Linked DNA regions of Saccharomyces cerevisiae S288C. The gene in region 1 interacts genetically with each later gene. Each region holds a gene or a part of one and is shown on either strand. Other genes may lie near its edges.

Evidence for each region.
Region 2: mutations in XPT1 (region 1) and FRE2 together harm fitness more than expected from each alone (negative genetic interaction), as found in Saccharomyces cerevisiae (one large-scale study listed by BioGRID).

The regions. Positions count from the first base shown.
Region 1 is NC_001142.9:671,127-674,215, reverse strand, and holds XPT1 (xanthine phosphoribosyltransferase), read right to left. Parts: upstream 1,226-3,089; coding exon 596-1,225; downstream 1-595. Other genes in the region: SGM1 (Sgm1p), read left to right, coding at 1-487; NMD5 (Nmd5p), read right to left, coding at 1,548-3,089. UniProt on the Saccharomyces cerevisiae protein: May act as a xanthine phosphoribosyltransferase involved in the synthesis of purine nucleotides. Such activity is however unclear in vivo.
Region 2 is NC_001143.9:8,267-13,081, forward strand, and holds FRE2 (ferric/cupric-chelate reductase), read right to left. Parts: upstream 2,961-4,815; coding exon 825-2,960; downstream 1-824. UniProt on the Saccharomyces cerevisiae protein: Metalloreductase responsible for reducing extracellular iron and copper prior to import. Catalyzes the reductive uptake of Fe(3+)-salts and Fe(3+) bound to catecholate or hydroxamate siderophores.

The DNA.
Region 1 (3,089 bases):
GGATTTCAGCATTGACGATATTCCAGAAGAGGCCGCTGCTTTACAAGCAATCAGGGAAGGGGAATCAATGAACTCGTTAAACAACACATCAATACCATACAGAAGAGCTAGCGTCCAGCTATCGAATTCTAACGGCCACATAAGCGCTCATCTGGTGAACAAGTTAAGTACGGAGTTAAAAAGATTGGAAGGTGAATTATCAGCATCAAAGGAATTATACGATAATTTACTGAAAGAAAAGACAAAAGCAAATGATGAGATTTTAAGACTTCTGGAAGAAAACGATAAATTCAATGAGGTAAATAAACAGAAAGATGATCTCTTAAAAAGAGTTGAGCAGATGCAAAGTAAATTGGAAACCTCCTTACAACTATTAGGTGAAAAGACTGAACAAGTGGAGGAATTAGAAAATGATGTGTCCGATTTAAAAGAGATGATGCATCAACAAGTTCAACAAATGGTAGAAATGCAAGGAAAAATGAGATAACTAGAAATACACTCTTATCTTTAGATTTAGGTTAAATATGAAATAATTACCAATGATAACTATATGTATCTATATACATGCAACCCCATCGCAACATACTGTTTGTCATCAGTCATGACCTTGAGCCTTAGCGAGCATGGTATGTTCTTCGATATCTTCAGCGTCCCATGGATAGCACAACCACTTATCAGGGACAGTTTGCGCAGCAATGTAACGTCCAGAATTCATCATGGAGTCAGGTAGTCCAGCTCTCTTTGGTTTGTCCTTATTATGTAGAACAAAGATAGAAATAACGGTTTCCTCACTCATTCTATTCAAAACCTTTTGTTGTTCAGCAATCTCTTTTTCCAGCTCAGAAACAGCATAGTGGAGGGTAGTTCTAGTATCGTCAACTTCATCCACAATTAGGACCTTTTTACCAATTAAGGAATCGAAATGTTGGTTCAAAGCACCGAAGTCCAGCCATTGTGTTCTGATGACCTCTTTGCCGATAGTTTCGACGCTATTATCCAACCCTAAATCTTCATACAAAGATAGGCCGATGGCCTGAATCGGAATATTCTTTTGTCCTTTAGTTTTCAAAAAGGACCTAATAATTCTTGCGGGGATCATACCACCACCAGTGATGGCGATAATAATATCAGGTCTTTCGTTTCTAGCTAAGATATGTTTAGCCACTCCCTGACAAAGCTTGTGAATATTATTATAGGAGATGTACATTCTCTCATTTTCGGCCATCTTGGTACAAGTATATTTTGAAGTGATCAATGTTTATGAAATCTAGTACAAGGATGGGCTATGCAAAAGAAAGACTGACAAAACTCAGATATTTTTCTTTCCGATTTAACTACGATTCTTTCCCCAGCTTAGAGATAAAAAAAGCTTGTGATTTTTTTAGGTTCATCGCATTGACTCCAGATAAAAAAAAAAGATCTTGATATCAAATCAAAGTCAACTGGCCGAGGCAAAGGCAACAAACTTTGAGCATAATATCCTCTCTCTTCTATCTAAATTATGTAATCCAGTGTTTGTTTCAATATACAATCGCCATTTAATTCAATTAGGCATTCATAATTCCCATGAATAGTTCTTGATCAGCCGGGGTCAGATGTCTCAAGATTCCCTGATATCTATTGCTGTCAACATGTTGTAAGTTCGCAATGGACTCCTTGAAAACCTTGTATACGTCAACTGTGTCCAGGATCGACCCCGTTAATGGGTCCTCTTCTAGGTCATCGAAAGTTTCCTTTGCGTCATAACCATCTACGAAGTCCAAGGAATCGGCTCTATTTTTTATCAGTTCCAGATATTTCTCAGTAAGGTCTCCCTCGTCATCATTTTCATCATCGTCTCCAACGTCAAGAAAATTTTCATCCCACTTAGTATCCTCTTCAAAACCGGATGATGAGAATTCCTTGCGTTGGTTAGCTAATTGCCTTAACGCCGTTGGTAGCCTCGAAGCTAACTGCGTAACAATACTCCCTAATTGCGGAACCAAATTTTCTAAGTTCAACACTGAATAATCGTTGCTTTCTAACTTCAGTATAATTTTTAATAACGCAAGAACTGATAATTTGATATCATAGCACCTTTTATAATTCGGAATATAGTCTGTAATCCACGTTTGAAAGAAGATTTCAAGACAACCTTGCTGTTTCAGGTACTGAAGCGTGATCAAAGGCTCTGTTATCATATTTGAGATTACGACATTAAAAGCAGTCACACTAAATACAACATTAGTTTTCAATTCATTCTTTTGCGTTAGAATAGAGCCGACAACATCCGCCAGTAGGCGCTCTCTGTATTGTTGAGGTAAACTGTCATCTAATGCAAGAACCAACTCTTGGGATAAATCAAAAACCACTCTAAGATCGTCTAACGAATTATCTTCTGCAGTAACAGCCTTTTGATATATTTCGAATATGATTTTTGTGTAAAACTCGTTCTTCTTTAATTCGTTCCTTCCATAAATGAGGATATTATTTAAGGCTAGCATGAAATCACTTAAATAATAAGATACCATACTATCTGGTTTTCTATTACATTCTCCAATCAGCTCCAAAATTTTCCAGCTGATGGGTGTGATATCTCTTAGTAGGAATGTAGAGTTCTCTACAAATTCGCAACATTCGCGATAGAAATCTTCGATGTCGTTTTTCAAAATAAACTCTGCAGCTGGATAAAATGACTGTTCCAAGTTTTTTAAAATTTCAGGTGAATTCTCAAAAGACAACAGAATAGATATCGTAGTCGACAAAATACCTAGCGCCGCCATTTGCTTGTCAGATTCATCGGGTATGCTATCAACGTTCGTGAAGGAATCTGGATCCAAATTGGATGTTTCATGCAGATCAATAGCTAATTTCAAAAACTGTTGGACCAAAGTGTTCATTAATTCAACACCAAAAGGTTGTAATTGCTCAGCAAACTGCTCCACAAAATCTTGCATAACGCCTGAAATGACATCAGATTCAAAATCATTAGACAAACTTAGTAATTTCTGCATAGTAGGAACAACGTGTTCGGATAACTTCATATTAAACTGGTCATCACTGATAAAAGTTTGCAATGCCAATGCAGCTGTCAATTCTACAGGTAAAGA
Region 2 (4,815 bases), on another chromosome or scaffold:
GCTAATCACATATCTATTTCTAAGTACAAGATGATAGTTAACAACTAATAATGAATAAACCAGGTAAAAAAAAAAAAAGAAAAAGCTGTAAAAGACGACAACGTTGGCGTCGCGAAAATATTAATAGAACCATATGTTGGATAATGTAGCCTCTATTATACACTTATCCCGATTACATTGTTTTAGCGACGGTAATCATCTTTTTATCCGGCACTCTGAATCAAACTCTATCTTTAAGTATCCTATATGCATGAGTTATGTCGATTATATCGAAGACTCGGTGTGTGATATTACTCCACAGTACAAAAACAGGAATACAGAGAAAATTGAAAAGATATATGAACGGATGGTATGGTAAATAAAATAACAGCCATTATAAAGCTTGTGGTAAATTTTCCAGGACGGAAGTTAGCTTATGCAGTTTTGTTTATCTTCCTTGCATCTGTGTATAATACTGAAACACGCAATTAACGTTTCATAAAATTTGCCTGAGGGCCGTATAAAAATTCAGTGACCATTGTTCACACTTTAAATATAGCCAAATTGCCAAGAAAGGGTTTCATTGCAGGTTTATCGAAATATTAACTCTTTAAATACAGGGACTATACAGAGCTAACTTCTTAAGAAAAAAAACCATGCGACACACTACGACTTTCACAAATTCCATAAAAGAGATATTTAAGATTTAGATAAAATATCAAAGGACTGCTGTACTCTGCTTCAATTACCTCCTTACCATAAAGTTATAGGCAGCTTTCTCCATCGACATACTAAAATTTGGATAGGTATTATTAATGAAATGACTAGTTTTAAGTAAAAAATGATCACCAGCATTGATACTCTTCAAAGTACTCAATGGCTTTTGCAGACTTATCTAAAACTATTTTTGCGGTTTCATTCCTCACTTTGTCAACAAAAATAGGAGGTCCACAGCAAACCACAGATAATGAGCCACTCAATTCAGCCGCTTCATGTAGAAGTTCCTTAACATTTGGTCGCCCGCAATGGAAAACAACACCATCAAAACCAAGTGGATTGGCAGACTTTTCTAAAGTAGTTGCCACAACAGTGCCTTTTTCATCAGCCTTCTCATCCTGTTGAGAAATATCTAAACTATCACTAGGGGTTAATGATGGGACTTCCATTGTGTTGTAGATGTGAAGCTGTACATTCAGATTTTCTAAACACATCAACTCCGGCTTATAAGCCTCGAGTACGTCGAATCCTCTAACTGCAATCACTAATTTTACAGATTGTTTTCCAGCAGCCGCTGACGTCTTTCCAAGTTTAATTGCATGTGCAATAGGTCCAGGCAAACCGGTACCTCCAGTGAGTAACAATACATTATTGTAATTATTGACCGGAGATGAAGAACCATATGGACCTTCTATAGCTAGTCTCATAGATGTCTTACCTCCATTGCGACACACATACTTTTTGACAAGTCTTGTTACTCCCTTTTTTTCTTTCAGGATAATAACCAGTTCACCATTCTTGCTTACTGAATCCAAAACAGTAAATGGATGTGACTGCCAGAAGTACAGTGGATGTAAAAACGAAACGAAAACATATTGCCCAGGTTTGGCCCTCCATGGCCTTGCCGGTTTTTTAACTGTTAAACGAATGAGATCATCCCCGATTAGTTGTAGGGAAGCTTTGGGGAAACCAAAATAAGAAGCTTTGATAATTCTAATAATCCGGTCAACGATCCAAATCGCAATAGCAGTGTATATCCACTCAATGCCACTTAAACTAACAACATGCTCCCAACATGCATAAAAGAACATTGCACCAAGGACGATATGAAGAAAAAGAAAGGCTTCATAAAAATACTTCCTGAATACTGCAAAGGAAAAGAAAACCATTGTGCCAGCTAAACAAAGTGCTGCCACCCCGAATTGCCAATATAATCGGTTTTTACTTGTTGCCCAAGTTTTATTCGCTACCGTATAACTAGTATATGCAGAGCCATGAATCATAGCATCCAAAAACATCATTCTTCCCAACCATTTGTGAAACATAATGAAGGAAGTATATTTAACCCCAGAAATATACTCGAGAAAGTTGTTTCTTCCCGCGAAAAGAACTATTAATGGAAAGTGTGCGAATGCGAGTACACCACTTCTGTCTGCCACATATCGAGCAACTTGAACTCTACGAGACTTGAATATTATATTTTCAGGATCGTATTCATAACCGTATGCCAAAAAAACGGTATGAAGCACGAGATATCCAAGAATAATGATACCCTCTAATCTTGTAGGTAAATATCCTGTGAATATTCTAAAATAAGAGAAATCTGACGCATGTTTGCTTCCAATGGTAGGTAGAGTGAGGTATCCCCTTACATATCCCACAAGCTTTTGCTTCAATAGAACAGTTTTAAAGGGAGTGTAATTCATGCAATGAAGAACGCCTGCAAAAGCCATGATAGCGACAAAATAAGCACATATAATGCCACCATATATGTTTCCGACATCTAAGTTAGCATAGAAACCATGCAATGCATGATAGTAGGCTTTTCTTAACTGTGTATCCATTTCAACTGGATATGTTAGGTTTGCACTGCCTTTGACATAGGGCGTCATATGCCTCGTTCCGTTGTTTAGAACGTCATAAAACTCAGAATTAGTCATGTTCTGAAGAGCATCACTATAACTTGCACAGTTTTTTTTGATGGTACTAAATGTTTTTTCTAAGGTTTTATTCGAATAACCTTTTTCATCCAACGTTTCATAGATACAATACAGCATTGATTGAAACGCTGGTTCGTAAGAACATACTGGTGATGAACGCTTAGACTTGCTGGTATACTCCCAAGTAACTTTTTGAAAAATCCTCGTGCAGGCATTAGTGACAAGCAAGGGCACCTTGTTACGAATAACTGTCTTTGCAGGTGATGCTCTTGCTCCTGACAGGCAGAAAAGCAAAATAGCGCTCAAGATGGACGTCCAATGCATTATATTCGTTGGGTTTCATAAGCTTTGGATAAAAAAGACTTTATTACAACTGTAGCAAAAAATCATGTTCATTTTTTGCGACTTATATATTTAGTGGCAAATTAATGATACCTTGCAATAACCGAATTTAGAGTATGTTGTCCAAGAAAGGAGGGATTTTGTTCATCAGAAAAGAATTCAGAAAAGCAAGGAAACAGTACTATCGTTTAGAATGTAGAATGATAGGTTGCTTGCTAATTCTATTATGGCACGAATGATACACCCATATTTTCAACAAAATCAATACCCACTAGCATCATTGAGCCAACTATTTGTCAATGCAACCATTACCGGTACTTCATCCTGATTTAACGAGTCTACTTTTTTATCACGTCAAAATTTACTTGTTTTCCTGTAAACCCGAAATAAAGGCAAAAAAGACCTGGGTGCAATTACGAATAAATGTACAATAATCATCCTGTTTGCATAGTAAACTTCCAGTTAGAGTCACACAACGCAATGAATTTTGACAGTTTTCTGTGCGATATTCTTTGGTAAACGTAAAGAACAGGCAACTTTTGGTACAATGGATTCTAGCCCATATGGTTCATTTCTGGTGCATTCGCAAAGTCAGTATTTGTCTAGCTGTGTTTTCTGGCTGAGAGACATTATGATGTTATTCATTGTTATGGATATCTCTGTAGCTCATGCTGCTTATTTCTCCCTAAAAAAGTTTTTTCTCTCGAATACATTCTTGACCATTTCATAGTGAAATTCTTGTACTTATTTAAAACCAAAAATGGAAGTATTCATACATCCCCCTATCAAAAACACTCAATAAGTTTCGAATTATTCGTTCGTCTAAACAGTGTCCAATACTCAAAGGGGTATTCAAGACGGCACAAAATCAGCATCTTCCCTTATCCGTGTTCCAGAAATACCACGCTAAGGTTTTTCCTCCTACAATCCATAAAATCATTAAGGAGGCAGCTTGAAAAATCTTGAAATTCAAAAGAGTTATCTTGGGCTAATCGAAATTAACGATAACCAGAGTAGAATATTCAAGATCACAGCTCCACCTTAGTTTCGAGGTTGCTCTCAATGGTCTAGCTTAGTCATGCTTTTTGTTAAACAAATCTTGCCTTTTCTGATATTCTATAGTGTGGTCCAATCCAGATATTGGCGCATCCTAAACCAATTATAGTTCACTTATGAAGGGCAAATGAACACTCTTACCAGTTTCACAAATAATTAGTACTAGCTAGGCGGTCAAACTGACTAGCTTATTATAATATTATCGATGTAACATTTTTCCATAGTGAGGGAGGAAAATAAACCTTAAAAAAATATGCAAGGATTCTAGATTTCAGGCTAGTCTTCAACCACTTTGCACTTCCGGATTAAAGGCTTTTATAGAAAACATCTTGGTTTGGGACTATATTGCTAGGTGAAAATTTCAAAATTGTACAAAAGATCATTCTTGTTTTTTTGCCTCATTAGCTGATACAATGCGGAACTACATGGCGCTCTTTTATAAGCATCTACTATGGTACATTCTAAGTATGTGGATCTTGGTTAACACATAGACATTTTTTAACTTCTTGATATCGGTTCCGCTAAATTTGCTGATTATATTTGTTCACTAGGCCAGATCATAATGCCTGTAATATTGAGTACTTAATATCGATACTTGATATCCGAACAGTAAACGTTTGTCCGTAGTCATCGTGACTGTTGACGTATTAACTGCAAGAAATGATGGAAAAAATTTAGGTATATTTGCAGATGAAAACTCTAGAACACTGCCGTTGAAGAAAGAATGGCTTCAGCCGTCATGCTGTCTATCTGTTTGTAAACTTTTGGAAGTTTTACATAT